Linked DNA regions of Arabidopsis thaliana. The protein of the gene in region 1 interacts with the protein of each later gene in a pairwise test. Each region holds a gene or a part of one and is shown on either strand. Other genes may lie near its edges.

Region 1 (8,854 bases):
AGGTTAGTTGTGGATCAGTGTCTTTGTGGACATTATGTATTTGTCTATCAATAGTGATGTGTAATGTTTCTTTTATTTGCTGTCTCAGCTCTCTGATCTTCACGGTTTGTTGGTTGAGGCTGCTGAGATTTTGAATATAGAGGCTCCTGATCTATATGTGCGACAGAGTCCTGTTCCTAATGCGTATACGCTGGCAATAAGCGGTAAGAAGCCGTTTATTGTTGTCCACACCAGCTTGATCGAGCTTCTTACTAGCGCGGAGCTACAGGTAAGATATTTTTTTCTGCATTACAAGTTCAATGCTTTTTGATTGAACCCACTTTTGAACCTAACCATAGATACTACATATTGGCTAATTTTACCAAAATCTGACAGTTTTATACCTCAAAACTAGGCTGTCTTAGCCCATGAACTAGGCCATCTGAAGTGTGATCACGGCGTGTGGCTCACATTTGCAAATATTCTTACTCTTGGGGCTTATACAGTTCCTGGTAGATACCACACTCTTCTACATGTCCAAGTCACTTGTATCTACTGTTCTGTGTCAGTCTGACAAAATTATAGTGACTTCATCCCGGAAATCTATTTATCGACTCACATAAGTTTCAGTTTGCAGCCGGCGTGAAACTCTGTTATTGTTACTAAACTGGATTCTGTTGTTTGTAGCTTTTGGGCAAATGATAGCTCGAACCTTGGAAGAACAGTTACTTCGTTGGCTACGTTCAGCAGAGCTGACTTGTGATCGCGCAGCACTACTCGTCGCCCAAGATCCAAAGGTACCAATTCTAAAAAACAAGAAGAAATCAAACAGAATGCGAAAATACCTAGTGATGTTTATGTTATTGTTCTTATAATCTCTCTTATGTCGCTTCCAAGAGGTTGTTGTATCTGTTCTGATGAAATTAGCCGGAGGATGTCCATCAATCGCTGATCAGCTAAATGTTGACGCATTTCTAGAACAAGCCCGTTCATATGACAAAGCTTCTTCAAGCCCCTTGGGATGGTACATAAGGTGAGAAAATTAAAACTATACAAAATTTAGATTATTCTTCCTTCAGATTCACTTCTTTGTTTGTTTACATATTTTCCTTTTCTACAGAAATGCTCAGACTAGTCAACTTTCGCATCCATTGCCGGTTCTTCGTGCACGTGAGATTGATGAGTGGTCCAGGAGTCTCGAGTACAAAAGTCTCCTGAAACGGGCAAATCGAAAAAGCACAGTACAGAAGGTTTAGTGACGTTGTTAAAGATTTAAAAGGAAGGAAGCGAAATAAACATGTATAGGTAAGTTTCATATAAGCACACATTTGTATATGAACCTGAGTTTTTACTTTTGTGGGTCGTTTTAAGGTTTGTCTTGAATTCTTGGACAGGAACAATACAGAAGGAGCAAAGAAGAAATGAGAGATTGGACTCTAGGTCTAAATAGGTACTGTAAAACTCTTGTATTTATTTAGTGGCATACTGGCATTGTTGTATATCTTATAACTGTAATAGATAAATTCAAATGTATATTCCGGAAAACAAAAGGGCCTTAGCTCAAAGATAATATATGATAAAGATTGTTTGTATAACTCACCTGTCTCAGTCTTAGAGGCTTAAACTACCAAACTGATTGTTCCAATTTTCATAGATTCCAAGTTCGTTCTGAGAAACAGAAGGCCTTACTTCTTGCAATGCGTCTTTAAAGTCCTGCATAATGACCAAATATATGAAACAATGACAGAAACAAAAAGAATTCGTTTAGCTTTACATGTTTGTATTCACAGAGTTCGCATATCATCAATTTAAGTTTGACCCGAAACATGATGATACCACAAAAAATCTTCATTTTGATTTTATGTACCTGAAGAGTTACTAGACGCATGTCATCTTTAGTCAGGTTAGTTATATCTATGCCTCGTTTGAGAGCTTCTCTTAATGGACCCATAGTTGCATCTTTCACCAGGTTCTTCATATCTGATCCCGAGTACCCTGCAGTGAAATTTAATGAAAAGCTAGCTTGGTTATGGCCGCAAATGTGTATTTGCATTTTTGGGTTGTGTTCTTTGGACTTTAAAGATCAAAAATCCAGAGATTTATTGTGTTTCTGAAGTTCCTATGATGAATTTACCTTCCGTTAGGTTGCATATGATGTTCATATCATCATCCGACAGAGTAAACAACCCATCTTTCTTTAGGAGATTCTGTATTATCCATGCTCTTGCTTCTTCAATTCGAAAACAGAGAATCGTGTCAAGAGAGTATATTAGACGAAAACCAGAGAATGACATGAAAAAGTTTGTTTATCATTCTTTACCAGATGAAGGAAGAGGAATGTAGAGTCTCTTGGTTAGTCGTCTTCTTGCTGCTTCATCGAGCTCTTGCGGTCTATTTGTTGCTCCTAACAAACAAAAAAAATTAGCAGAATAAAGTTACTAAACCCCATATAACCCACAAAACTCAAACCTTACTGTTCCCAGTTTTTTACCTATTAGGAGAATTTGCTCGCTGCCACTGTCGAAACCTTCCATTTCAATCAGGAATTGTGTCTTGAGTCTTCTACTCGATTCATGTTCACCATCTGACTTACGCTGTGGCAAAGGGTGAAAGTTCGTTTCTTTAATAGAATGTTACATAAGGAAACCAATACATGCCAGAAAATTGTCTTTACTGAACCACCCTTTGTAATTTTTTCCAGCCCTTGTTCTACGCTGATAGGTTTGAGGGTTTATGAACATGTAATATTTTGAGAGATTACAACAAACCTGAGATAGTAGAGAATCTATTTCATCGACAAATATTACTGCAGGCTGGCGGCAACTCGCAACTCCAAAAAGGGCCCTCACTAGCTTTTCACCTTCGCCAATCTGCATTTACATTTGTGATCGTTAAATTTGCAGGTGACCGTAAAGCAAATGAATAAGCATGCTATAGACATCTTGAGCAGGAACAAAATCACTGACATACAGAAAATGGTACGGGTTTCCCTGCTATGTAGAAGTTCTGACATAGTGGAACATAATTACTGTCGTAATTTTACGAATATCCATGTGAAAGTAAGCAAAGAAGTGGAACTAACCCACTTGCTTGTCAATGAACTGGCTGATATATAGAAAAAGGTTGCTTTCGCTTCTCCAGCTATAGCTTTTCCAATCATTGTTTTACCAGTTCCCTGGTATGCAGTAGATACAGATCTAAGAAAAAACAGACACGAGTGTCATTTCATCTTAAATATCAAAATGGACAAGGGTACCTACTGGTGGGCCAAAGAGAAGAAGTCCTTTTCCAGGTGAACGACAACCTTTGAAAATGTCAGGACGCAACAATGGCCAAATGACCATCTCAGTTACACACTTTTTAGCATGCTCCAGACCAGCTGCACATCAATAACTTATGATGAGAAACTCCAGGTGCAACAGGGATAATAATATACACTGCACTGAAACATCTTACTGTACCAATATCATCCCAGCGGACATTGGGGTCTCGATCCATAATCTCGTTGCTGACATGCTCTATAAGACGAGGTTCCAAATTTCTCAACTTCTCGGGAAGCTCACCATCAGGACCACAGAGCATCTCCAAACTAGAACAGGATAGTAAGTAAATGGGCATGCATGTTATCTCATAATATAAAATTAATCTTTTCAGGCTTACAGGCGTAGAAGGCTACTGGATAATTAGAAACTTATGTGAAGTAGCATTCTAAATAAGAACGAGGGCCTAACTGGCTAACCACCAGATGAGTGTAGACGCTTAAATTGCTAGTCCTATTGACATGCATATACTATTTTTTATTTACTTTTCATAGTGTTTCAATGTGAAATAAATTCAAAAAATGTTTAATATAGAAACTTAGTTAGAGAAGGGCAGAGACAGGCATAGCCTATCTAGGTGAAAATCAAGAAATATTGACAAGAAAAACAGATTACATAAGCTTATTTATTGTCGAAGGTGAGGATATAAAAAGGGTGCATGTGCTTTCCAGTTTGCTAAGGATCTTGAATCAAAATAAGAAATTACGCAACTAACCATGTTCTGGTTGAGTCATCCAGTGCATCGTCAGTCTTTCCACCAATACGAGACGTCAAGTTTCCAACATTATTCCCATTAGTTTTAACAGGAGGGACAAAATTACTACGGTATCCACGTCTTAATCCACCCGACCTTGAACCATAGCCCCTACCTAAAGCATTTTTGTCACTCTGTGGAGAAAGACATGAACTTGGTGACTCAGTTGATCCTCGTTTTTGTCTTACATCCATTTCCTAAAGCAACAGATATAGTAGTCAACATTAGCAAAGGGTAATAAAGCACAGTTCGAAAGAAAAGACTCTGCAAAGTCAAGATGACTCTAAGAGAAGTAATTGTCATGAATAAATCTACCAGTTTTATTTTGGCGGATACAAATCCATTAGGAGCTCCATCTTCCTTTACTTCCCCATCATTTGCAAGGCTACTGGTTTCTGCATGAGGTCGCTTTGTTCCAAAACCAAATCCATGACTTCTCTCAACAATGACACATTCATCAGAGGCACGGTCTTGATTGTTCACTGAAGTTTTGCGCTGATTATCTGGTTTACCAATACTGTTTCCATACAATGATGTCAGTTTGGCTTGCATCATTGACTTTGGTGCTTTGGGAATCAACTTATCCGTATCATGCCGTTCTTCCTGAAACAAGAAAACATCTATGAAATCATAGTAGAAACAGGAAGCAAGACATATAACATGGCTGTGTTTCCAAAACTCATCACCAATACTAAGATCATTGAAGAAATGAAGCAGTTTACAAGAGCATTACCATCTCTTTAACACCCTTTCCGTTAGATTGACTGACATGAAAACCAAAGTACTTAGACTGCTTAATCTTTTCCACATCAAATCCACCTTTGCTGCCAAAAATTGCCCCTGGAGCTGTATTTGCAAGCTCAAACGCCTTCCTGGATACAACAAGAAGCACACCATAAAAGGGTACTCTAAAAATCTCAAGTGTAGCTAATATTGACGATAATTCAAAAAGATCTTTAGATTTCAGCTAGTAACTAAGTGAACGAAGTCCAAAGATTAGAGAATATCACTCAGTTATACATTTCCCTGATTCCAATACCCAACAATTCAAGCCACACTCATAAGACTCTACTAAGCTAAGCAAGTAAAATTCGAACCCTCTCTTCTTCGAAATTAAACAGGCTCAAAGGGGAAAAGCTCAGGTACCGATCCGAATCTGAAACGAGGCCTTCCAAAGCTAAATCAATCTTAGAGGCAACTTCACGACGAATGGGACCAATGAAATCACGATCGGCGTCAGTGACAGAACGAGAATCGAGGAAACCTAGAAGACGAAGCCCAAGGATCTGAGCAGAAGAGAAATCAGATTTCTCCAGGAATTTGTCGGCGCCGAAGAGCAGCGATTGGAGACGCTTCAAGTTCTCATCCACTTCCTTTCTCCAACACGGCGTCTCCGTTTCTCCTTCCTCCTTCACATTCAGAAACTCCGGTGGTGGTCTCAGTAACGGAGAAGAAAACGGCGACGAACGCTTTCCCGCCATTATCCTCTCTTCCTCTTTCCCCAAATGCCCAAAACCCCAGAAATGAAATTCAAATTCGCGCTCAGAATCTGAAACCACCGACCCACACATTCCTTTACTCTCTCACCAGCTTGACGCGTAGAACGTCATGCAGTGTAATAGTGTAGATAGAAACGGCGTGTAGTTTCCTTAGAAATCAGTTGCTTATCGGGCCCAGTTTCTTCATGGGCAATAGTAAGCCCGTTATTGTCTGTATTTTGGGTTTTACTGTGTTTCGGATATGCTTCCTCTAAACTTTCGTCTTTATTTTTTATATTTTTACATAGAGAATATTAGGCACTTAAAAATCATTAGGCACTTTGACTAATTGCAATTACTTGTTTACCCTCAAATCGTCGGTTATATATAACCAAACAAATCAAACCCATTTTCATTAAACCAATTCCGGTTACGAAACCCACGATTTTGATTTTGCAGTTACCATAATCTCTTGTTTTATTTTTTCCGGAACTGTAAAAAAAAACAAATCCAGAAAAAACCTAAACTACAGTTTCAGAAAAGGTGACTCCGACGACGGGATATCAATCTCCTCCGTTACTGTCTACCACCACTACGGTTTACACTACTTTCTTTCTTCTTCTCTCCACCGTAAAACTCCAATAATCGATTTCGTAATCTCAACCACTTTATACCCTTGTGACTTCGGCGAGGGGATATCAATCTCCTCTTTAATGGATTTGGATTTCGTTACTCTAATTCAACTTCAATTGAGTAGATTTCGAGAAAAAGTTCTTGAATTACTAAGGTAAAGTTATGTGATGTTGGGTTCTATATTCTTTGGTTTATCCAATTTGATATGGCGTCCGCAAATATTCCTCGATTCGAATCTTCGGCGATCATAAATCTTGCACTGAATACTATGGAAGAGAAGCTACCAAGATCGCTCAAGAATCTCGACTTGAATACGAACCTTGTACCAAAGATTAAGATTCTTCTTTCAGCTTATCTATCTTCCTCACGTAAGTCTCACTTTCAACAATTTTTTTTCTCGAGCTGGGCTAAATTTGGTGTTAAGCATGGCTGGTGATATTTAGGAGTTGGAATTTGACAAAGTTTTCTACTAGTTTGCTTCAATCGCTGGAATGTCTCCATTGAAATCGAAACCTCCATCTCTTGTGAGATTATGTTATTAGGAAACATTTAGAGGAAATGATTCCTTGTTTAGCTGAAATCTATGTTATATTTCCATAAAGCGACGTTTATGTGAACAAATTTATGTGGACTTGTTATCATGGATATGTTATGGACAAATTAGTATTTGAAATTGTAATTGACGGTTGTGTAACGGATTGTGTTATGGACTCACCATTCTCGTAACATGATTAAAGATAATGAAACGAGATTGACTATTGATAATTGTGTGTTTATTAAACTTTCGCACCGGTGAAGAGATTAGTCCCTTGAACTTGTGATTGTTTATGTTATATCTTGAGATGTTTGGTATTTAAAATCAAACTTTGACTTGTATTTAAAACTTAAAATCCAATCGAGAAGATCTAGCAGTGTTAAATGAACAGAGCTTTGTGGACAACGATATTTGGACACGTTTCTTTTTACCTTCCTCTCGTACTTTACTTGAACTTGTCTCTAAGTTTGCTGTCAAATTATATGGCTTTTTGAGTATTTAACGTCTCGTCAATGCCAAAGTATTCATATCAAATGAACCATTTCAAGTGTATGATCCAATATAGATTAATTGAACACCAAAAAATTCATTATATGCTTCTATTTCCAATGTTGTGGTATCCATTTTGTATTGTCCATATGAACAATGTACTTTTGCAGGTTCGGTGACCATTTTTGTATGTTGGTTTCCTCTTTTGTACCCAAAATAGTTTCCATCGACTATTAACTCAAAAAACTATTTTTTCAATCTCTTTTTTTCAATAATTTTGGGTTTTGGTTATCCTTATAAATCATAACTATTCTTCAATTTGTAATTGATCCGTACAAGTATAACTATATATGGTCAACACGAAATGGTCGCTTGTGGATGGCTACTTGTAAAGTGTTAGAGTATACTTTGAGACCTGAGATGCACATCAAGAAACTTGGTTACATATCATTGTTACTTAACTGTCTATACACATGTGGATAAATGGTCATAATGGATAATGTACTTTGGATTGACGTTTATTGTTCCTCGTATAAACTTATGTATTAGTATGAAACTACCATGTGAGTTATTAGATGACCATATGGACTAGACTGCTTGGATAGTTTCTTGTTCATGTATAAACTTATGTATTAGTATGAAACTACCATGTGAGTCACTAGATAACCATATGGACTGGACTTCTTGGACATTCATTAATGGACAAGTATGTCTTTGATTTGCTGCGAATGTGTTTATAGCTCGATAAAATTAACACTTTTTTGTTTGCTCATTCAACATTAACATTGGAGTCCAACTCGATCAAATTCTTAGCACCATCATAAAGCTCAATGTTTATACCAGACAAGATCAACATAAGCCACATTGAGTTTAGCTTTGTTCACTCAATTTTTTTTTTGCCGTCTGGTATAATATTAATTGAAAAGTCAAAACAGAGTATAGAGCATACATCCATAAAAAAACAGAGCATGAAAACTCCAAACAATAACCAAAGGTAAAGAAAAAAAAAATCCAAAGGTAAAGAAAAGAAAATTTCACAAAGTCATCATCGCTTGTCTTCTTCAATTCTGGAAAGTAACCATCCAGGGCCTCCTCTAGCTAAATAAGATCTGAAACGACCATCCCTTGTCACACTTATAGCAATGTCCCTTGCTATTGAATTCGCCTTTGAGGATGAAACCTTGAAAATGACTCGAAAAAACCTGGGAATGAGTGAATTAAGTAAAACAAAAGGACTAAATCATAGAAATTCTAATGTCATATATCTAACATCTTCTAAGATGCCTCTCTTTTCTATACGAACTGGCCGCAATGGGATCAACATCACACTGATATCATCAAACGAGCCTCGTGAAGCCGAGAGATCAACAAGCTTCTTACAAGCTGCTAACAACAATGGCTTCTCGGTTCGTAAGCAGAAGGGACGAGCAATGTCTACTGCTTCTTGGTTACTCACCTTATCCCATAAACCATGTGATGCCAAGATTAAGAACTCATGGTCATGCTCAACTCTCGAGATCTTTGTCTCTGGTTCAGCTATAACCCATTTCTTAAGTTGAGCATCTCCGATTCCTCTTGGCACAACTAAGGATCCCTGGATTCTCCACAACGTGAAACATATCAACATATCCTCCCGTGGTTTCAATTCTTTTCCGTTCATCATCTC
Region 2 (8,086 bases), 1.9 Mb from region 1:
TTTGTCAAATGACATGTGGTCTATATGTCATGAATTAGGCACCGCTATCTTTTACTATTGATTCGACGACATTGGGACTCCTCACTACACTTATCTTAAAAAAACTCAAAGTTGGTGTTAATGGCTTGTCACCATAAACTTTCATGAGCTCTAACAAATTAAACTTGAACTTGATCAGGTCTCACAATATATACAATTTCGAGGGATAAATATTTCAAAAGGATAATATGATAGTTGGTAGAAATGTATAGTTTCTAGTAATAATAGAGATCGTTGGTTAAACTCCCCAACTTTTTAAAATTAATTTGATTAGTGGATCCGCAAACAAATATTAGATTGGGCCTATATGCATCTATATTATTTTTATTTTTCTGTAATTTCAGTAAAATGGGCCTATGGTCCTATATGCATCCGAATAATTAGTATACTGGGCTTATGGGCCTATATGCATTTGATTTTATCGATAAAATGTGAGTCAAATGTCTAATGTGCGCCGTTATGAAGTGCAAGTGGCTAATTTTTTTCAGGGAATGTTCCAATATAAGACACTTTAAACGTAAGTTTAGACAATATAGACACTTTCCAAGTTAGAGGCACTTTTCCTTCTTTTTGAAGGAAAACTTGACTTTTATACCTCTTAACTAAACAATCGAAAACAATAACTAAATATATATCTTAACCAAACAATTAAAAAAATAAAAGAATTTAGATACGTAGTTATTAATATAGACCATTAGATTGAAAAATAAAAATTAAGATCTATGGCTGAGATTAAAGACAATAAATGGATTAATTTTTTGATGTTAAAATCTGATTAGAAAAAGGTATTTCTCTTCGTCTCTAGAACTAAATCTCTCTCTCTAAAAAAACAATCGTTTCTCCCTTTCTCCTTCCTGAAGATCGTTTTTTCATAAATCCATAGTAGTTTAAAAACGAAGCAGAGAGATGTTGAAAATCGTTTCTCATGAAATTAATCGATTATTCTCTGTGAAGTTCTTTAATCCACACAACTTTCCTCATGAACATGATAATAGTAGTAAATGGAGGTTTTTCCTATGGTTACTCTAGACGAAGGAGGATCTCCTTGTGTTGGACAGGTTTGTGATTTCTTTCCATGGATTAAAAAAATTTGATTGTTTGTTTATGATGAACGATTCTTTGGCTACGGAAGAGTGTCATGGAGTTCTGGCGAATTCTTTGGCTATGTTTGGTGATTTCGTTTTTAATCAAGTTGGGAATCAATAGGAAACAACTAAGCATACAACATAGATTAGAAGAGATATCAAGATGGATCTAATTTAAGTAAGATTTGGCGACTAATTCTAGATGATTAGGGTTATTTGTGATTTATTACAAGGCATTTGTGTTCTCATTGATTTGGCGAGTAATTCTGTATGACTAGGGTTATTTGTGTTTTCTTAAAAAGAATTTGTGTTCTTGTTGAAATCTTGTTCATTGGAATTATTTGTGTTTGGTAAATCTTCATTGGTGGCTAAGGATGTGTTTGTAGCTCTTACGGCGTTTGTTATTGGTGATGTCCATTATGGATGGCAAATTATGGATGGCACATTATGGATGATGAATCATGGATGACATATTATGGATGACGCATCATGGATTGTATATTATGGATTGATATGGTGAGATTTGTAAATCTTTTGGTCTTACATGTTAAGAGTAAAAGATGAAGAATTGGAGAAGCATGTCTAACATCCTAAAAACAAGCTATATGCGGTTGATTTGCTACAAATAATTTTTTGGTATCCATAATAACAAATCCATTTAAATATATCCATTCAGAAACCTTTCTACTGATCCGTATCCATTCTATATACCATGTCAATAATAATAGGAGATTCGATTAACCGTGTTTTGTAAAGAAACCAAAGTTCCATGTCCATAAGGTTTTGAAGGTGGAGGTCTCTGCAAACTGAAAAAAAAATCAACAAACAATTTTTTGGTGTCCATAATAACGAATCCATTTAAATATATCCATTCGGAAACCTTTTTACTGATCTATATCCATTTTATATAACATGTCCATGATAACAGGAGATTCGATTAACTGAAATCTCGATGCTACGTAGATGAAACGAGTTTGACACATGAGAGAGAGCAAAAATCAAATCAAACCGCCATTGTTGAAGAAGAAGAAGTTTCTTCTCATTTTTTACAAAGATGAAGAGAGAGAGAGGTGAAGAGAGAGAGAGAGATGAAGAGAGAGAGAGAGAGAAAGAGAGAGATGAAGAGAGAGAGAGAAAGAGAGAAAACGTGGGTTAAGATAATATTTTAGTTAAGAGGGTATTTTAGTAAAAAAACATAAAAAAGTGCCTAATCTTTTGAAAGTGCCTAAACACAGAAATAGTTTTAAAAAAGTGTTTAAGAGTGTAATATTCTCTTTTTTTCACCTAGATTCCTTCTATTGACCGTCGATAGACGGATGATAACTATGACGTGGCATTATCGCAGCCATCAAACAAAGTCATGTATAACAAAGAAGAGCACACAAACGAAAACAAATTCAGTTGCGGAACCCAAATTCAAATCAACGGAATTAGAATCACGCTTTCAATTCCGTAACCCGCCATTAAAAACCTTGAACCCTCGAAGCAAATCGAGCAAAGATTTTCAAATTTCGAATTTCAAAATTCTATCTCTCTCACTCTTCCAAGCTTAGAGACTCTTAGAGCGAGAAAATGATGGCTTCTCTTAAGTAAGTGATTGATCTCTCTCTTTCTCTCTACTACGATTCTTCTTCTTCTTCTCCATTCATCGTTTTGGTTTAAGCTTTGTCTTAAGTTTTGTGTACCTGACTCGCTTCTTCTCGTTTTTATTTTGTTTTCCGATGATCCTGATCTGTTTGTGTTGTTTCGGATTCATAGAGCTGAAGAAACGAGCCAGATGCAGCTCGTTGAGCGTGAAGAAAATGATGAAGACGAAGATCTATTTGAGATGATTGACAAATGTAAGATTTGAATTCGTTTTCAACTTTTACGATTCTTCACTTTTTCGTTTCAAATCTTCATCATCTGTTTTGGAATCGTCTCTGTGTGTTTATCTCTTCTAATTTCGCCCACTTTTGTTTATCTAAACCTCGTTGTTGCTTAATCGCTGGGTCTTATGAAATCAGATCTAGAATCGTTCATCTAATTTGAGGAATGTTCTCGCAATCTCTGTTAGATTTCGAATTTAAGTATGAATCTAGGATCGATATTGATTTCTGAACATGGTTCTCCTTGGTAACGAATAGTTTATGGTCCATTTCGTTTACTGTTTGTGGAATTCGAGTGTATATTAGTGTACATAGTTGTTTGATTTCTGTATCTGGCTAAAATCTCTAGCTGATTTGATCTCGGGACTTTTATTTTTGCTTGTGTCAGTGATCGCACAAGGTATAAACGCAGGAGATGTGAAAAAGCTACAAGAAGCTGGGATCCATACCTGCAATGGTCTCATGATGCATACCAAGAAGGTATTAACCAGCTTATTTAGCTTTGCTCATTGGGTTTATACTATGTAGATGTTGGTTGCATGAGTCGATTGTTTAAACTTATGTTTGATGCAGAACCTTACTGGAATCAAAGGTTTATCTGAGGCCAAAGTTGACAAAATCTGTGAAGCTGCTGAGAAAATTGTGGTAAGTTTAACGTTTCCATCTGTTGTTGCTATATCAGTGTTACTTTCTGCATTTGCGTCATTTTAATTGTCAAACCATTTCTCCTTCAGAACTTTGGATATATGACTGGAAGTGATGCTCTTATAAAGGTTAGACTCATTGTTGCTTGATCCCACTAACAGAACTATTAGATTTTGATATCCTATTCAACATTTCATATTAGATATTGAAACTTACAAGTTGTTTTTTAATTGTTTACAGAGGAAATCAGTTGTAAAAATCACTACAGGGTGTCAAGCTCTCGATGATCTCTTAGGAGGTATGCTAAGTTTTGCTTTAGATTTTTGCCATCTTGATCACACTACTTAAGTTCTGGTTTAATTATTTCACATTTCTTGCTAGGTGGAATTGAAACCTCAGCCATCACAGAGGCTTTTGGGGAATTTAGGTGAGAAACAGCTGAGCCAAGCTCTATAAGTTTCCTGTTAATAGCTTGTATTCTTATAGAGTTTAATTTCACTTCAGGTCTGGGAAAACCCAATTAGCACATACCCTTTGTGTCACTACGCAGGTTGGTTTCTTTCCTACAGTCTCAATATGAAATATATGTTGTCTTGTTTACATTTCAGAGGCATGAGATGAGATTTTACTTTCTTTCAGCATATAAACCATTGAGGTACTCTGTCTCTCAATGTCATTGGTATTCATTTTCTGTATTGATGTATTACAGCTACCTACAAACATGAAAGGAGGGAATGGAAAAGTGGCATACATTGACACAGAGGGAACCTTGTATCCTTAATATCTTATAACAAATCTTCTGACCAGATCTTGTGTCTTCATTAGATTGTTTCTATATTCCATGATTTTTCCTTAACCCCTAAATTTTGTAGCCGTCCTGATAGGATTGTCCCAATTGCTGAAAGATTTGGAATGGATCCAGGAGCTGTGCTTGACAATGTAAGCATTATTAACCTCACATCTTTACTTACTCTCAGGACTGTGACTGACATTCAAAAATCTTATTCATCTTGATATAACAGATCATTTATGCTCGTGCTTATACCTATGAGCATCAGTACAACTTGCTTCTTGGCCTTGCTGCAAAAATGTCTGAGGAACCATTTAGGATTCTGGTAAGTAAAACATGTCTGATAATTTTAGTTTAGTTATCCATTCAAATATGAGTTAAATTAGCTGAGTTTTCTGACCTTGTTTCCAGATTGTTGACTCGATCATTGCTTTATTCCGAGTGGATTTCACTGGAAGAGGAGAACTCGCAGACCGCCAGGTTAAACTTGCCTCCCACAACATTACTTACATTATCATTGGCACAATCTGGCTTTGCTCAATAGTCCCAGTTTCTGTGTTGCAGCAAAAACTAGCTCAGATGCTTTCCAGGCTAATCAAAATTGCAGAGGAGTTCAACGTTGCTGTCTACATGACTAACCAAGGTTTACTTTACACTAGTTTGATATAATGAGATAAAGCATCAATTCTTTTTTTGTTTCTTGGTTGCACTAACTTAGCAAGTATCATCTGTTTCATTTGGTGGTTTGCAGTCATAGCTGACCCAGGTGGTGGAATGTTCATATCAGACCCAAAAAAGCCAGCAGGTGGTCATGTACTAGCTCACGCAGCCACCATCAGGCTCTTGTTCAGGAAAGGCAAAGGCGATACACGTGTCTGCAAAGTCTACGATGCTCCGAATCTCGCTGAAGCTGAAGCCATATCCTTTTAACCAAATCCACACACACACACTTGCTTTGTTTTTGATTATTTCATATAATGCAATGACTTCATTTTTTTCCTTAACTGAAGAAATCACAGTTTCCAGATTACTCAAGGAGGCATTGCTGACGCGAAGGATTAGAGGAGCGAACTCTTTTATATGTCATAATCACGAATTATGTCTGTTCTTAACTTGCTGCTTGTTTCTGCATCGAATCAGACGTTTTAATTAAGTCTTTTTATTCTTAGTTTCTTGTTTACCAAATAAGACGATCATTACTTGATTCGGCTTACAAAACCAATCTATGTATCTGATAAAGCTGCAAACAAAACAACTCTGGTTCGTTTGTAAAAAGACAATAATGGCTTTATAACAAGTAACAAGTAAAAGTTCATTATGATCATTGATTAATCAGTTGCACTGAATAATGTGTTATTCCTCTCCAACTTATTCATCTCTATTTTAGTGGATGAAAAAACTCTTTAAATTTCTCTTTTTTATTCATCTAAGTAACGTAAAATAGAAATGAAAGGGATGAATAATTTTAATCATCTCGTTTTCTCACTTTGCCAGTTTTTTCCTGCACATCAATCGATTTCATAATTGCTGCAAAACTCTCATATTGTTTTGTCTCCTCTTTTGGGTTCCATGGCAATATGATACTTTTCAAGTTCGACAAGTCTCATCATGTTTCGCTTATATCGACGGTTTTCTGAACTGCTTTGTCTTCTCCTTTTGCATCCTGGAGGTTGCTTGATTTTCACTAAACTTGGAACATAAGGACACACATATAGCCAACTATCTTGGTGGGCAGGTTCTCCGAGATCAACATCTCGGACTTGTCCAGCCTCTCCAATGATGAAAACTTTGTCGCGTTTCAACGGTTGCCCGAAAATCACGGCGACTTTGTTCACCTCGTCAATGAAGAAACTCCCTGTACAAGAATAAATCATCGGGCAGTCACGCACACCAAAGGTCAAAAACTTGCTCCACGACACCTTATCGAATTCAATCGTAGTCGTAATCCATACCTCAACAACAACATCGCGACAAAATAAAGCAGCAAGCTTCTCTTCCCTAACACAAGATAGAGTCACAAGACTCTCCTTCATAGCTCTAAACGGCAAAGGCACAAGCGGACCAAACCTCTCACTTGTAAAATCAAAACAGATGATGTGATCAACAATGATAAAAGGGTCTGCGTTCCACTCTGGCTTCCTTTCTTTAGCGCACCAGTAAGTGTTTCCCTTGAGAGAAACGCCAATATCATCAAAAAACCTTATACGCCAGTATGGAGTGACATCAAGAGTTTTCCATAAACCAGAGTCGAAATCATAGATTTCATAGAAAACAAAATCATTGGAGGTATAGAAATAATCAAAAAACCTCAAGAGTTTAAATGATTTCATCATATTATTATTCTTGTAGTATCCGAGAGCGTAACTGAACTGGTCCCATCCGCCTGGGATGTGTGAAAATCTAACTTGGATAAACCTTCTTTGCCCCAAATACGGATTCCAAACAACAACCTTAGTATTATCGTCTTTCAAGATGCATAACAATAAACCCTCGCAATGAAACAACATAGATACCTTTACTTGTTCGTCAAAGCAAGTAAGTTTGCCTTTAATCTCTGTAGATGGATCTCCTCCATTAAAGGATTTGCTCATTAAACAAAGATTGTAATCCATCAACGCGACCATCTGAGACTCCTCTTCGTCGATCTTTAAGCTCCGACTTTTGATTAAAGTTTCCCACTCTTTGCAGGTTAATCGCAATGCTCTCACATATCTCAACGGAATTCTTGAGAATATTTTCTTCTTCAGATCCCTTGGAAGATCGGAGATCGTCAACGTCATTGTTTCAAACCCTTTTCTCTTCCTCTGAAAAATCTCTCGGTCCTTGCTGTGAAAGTAACCAAGTCCTTAAAATTTTAGGGTTTATGTGACAATTAAGACTCGGTTACTTTTTTATTCAATTAATTCTGGTTCGGTCAATTCGGTTTATAGCGGTTTTGTTTACTAGAAAAACTATCACCGCCTTTGTTTTTATTTTTACTTTTTAGTTTCACTTTCGACATTTTTCTTAGTGGTAAATTTCGTTTTTACCTTGGAACTATAAAATCAATCGGTTCTTAGGTTTTATAGTAAGGGAATGTCCCGTAATAAGGCACTTTGGGAAAAAGTTTAGACAAAACAGGCACTTTCCAAGGTTGAGACACTTTTCTTTGTTTTTGGAGTGAAAATAGACCATTATACCCCAAATAAACTGAATCACGAAAAGAAGAATAACCGGTCATTGGTTTTGGTTTGTAATTGTGTGTACCAAACACGTGTAGAATAATGGGTTAATTCGGATCAAATGAACGTGGTAAGATTTGCAGTTTAAATAGAAGTTAATGAGAAATAATGACCGTCCGATCATATAACAATTAAACGGACGAGAAGATGGATTTGTCTGCAAACATAACTAACTTGCGTTATGTTAGGTCTTCAGAGATTGGTTTCACAACATAACTAACAAGACTTTGATAGCAATCTTATGTTTTCTGTAAACAATTAATAATAGAACTAAGAATGTTGTAGTAAAAATTGACTGCTTTTCAGTAATAATAAATATACATGTTCTAGTTATTTAATTTTATGCCTACCTGATTATCCACAACATCGTGTAGATCCATATCTTGATAGAGAGAGATTTTATACTGAAAGATATAATAATGATGTTGTGAAATTATT

The links. Proteins that work in one complex are often made in the same cells at the same time.
Region 2: the proteins of AT3G27120 (region 1) and DMC1 interact in a two-hybrid assay, tested with the Arabidopsis thaliana proteins (one study listed by BioGRID).

The regions. Positions count from the first base shown.
Region 1 is NC_003074.8:9,998,658-10,007,511, forward strand, and holds AT3G27120 (P-loop containing nucleoside triphosphate hydrolases superfamily protein), read right to left. Parts: upstream 5,650-8,854; 5' UTR 5,625-5,649; coding exon 5,200-5,624; intron 4,926-5,199; coding exon 4,787-4,925; intron 4,657-4,786; coding exon 4,369-4,656; intron 4,251-4,368; coding exon 4,015-4,250; intron 3,569-4,014; coding exon 3,441-3,568; intron 3,359-3,440; coding exon 3,240-3,358; intron 3,155-3,239; coding exon 3,062-3,154; intron 2,850-3,061; coding exon 2,748-2,849; intron 2,574-2,747; coding exon 2,471-2,573; intron 2,384-2,470; coding exon 2,300-2,383; intron 2,210-2,299; coding exon 2,114-2,209; intron 1,975-2,113; coding exon 1,847-1,974; intron 1,693-1,846; coding exon 1,591-1,692; downstream 1-1,590. Other genes in the region: AT3G27110 (Peptidase family M48 family protein), read left to right, coding at 1-2, 89-268, 395-491, 667-776, 879-1,012, 1,100-1,235; AT3G27140 (Protein phosphatase 2C family protein), read right to left, coding at 8,234-8,368, 8,459-8,782. UniProt on the Arabidopsis thaliana protein: Involved in DNA double-strand break (DBS) repair via homologous recombination (HR). Limits class II meiotic crossover (CO) formation by regulating the invasion step of meiotic HR.
Region 2 is NC_003074.8:8,095,351-8,103,436, reverse strand, and holds DMC1 (DNA repair (Rad51) family protein), read left to right. Parts: upstream 1-2,504; 5' UTR 2,505-2,696; coding exon 2,697-2,713; intron 2,714-2,882; coding exon 2,883-2,965; intron 2,966-3,380; coding exon 3,381-3,472; intron 3,473-3,565; coding exon 3,566-3,637; intron 3,638-3,726; coding exon 3,727-3,765; intron 3,766-3,877; coding exon 3,878-3,935; intron 3,936-4,018; coding exon 4,019-4,064; intron 4,065-4,141; coding exon 4,142-4,187; intron 4,188-4,346; coding exon 4,347-4,408; intron 4,409-4,509; coding exon 4,510-4,576; intron 4,577-4,659; coding exon 4,660-4,752; intron 4,753-4,838; coding exon 4,839-4,907; intron 4,908-4,991; coding exon 4,992-5,070; intron 5,071-5,178; coding exon 5,179-5,345; coding exon of another isoform or gene 5,346-5,357; exon of another isoform or gene 5,358-5,398; intron 5,399-5,444; coding exon 5,445-5,489; 3' UTR 5,490-5,759; downstream 5,760-8,086. Other genes in the region: AT3G22870 (F-box and associated interaction domains-containing protein), read right to left, coding at 5,966-7,207. UniProt on the Arabidopsis thaliana protein: May participate in meiotic recombination, specifically in homologous strand assimilation, which is required for the resolution of meiotic double-strand breaks. Mediates interhomolog recombination during meiosis.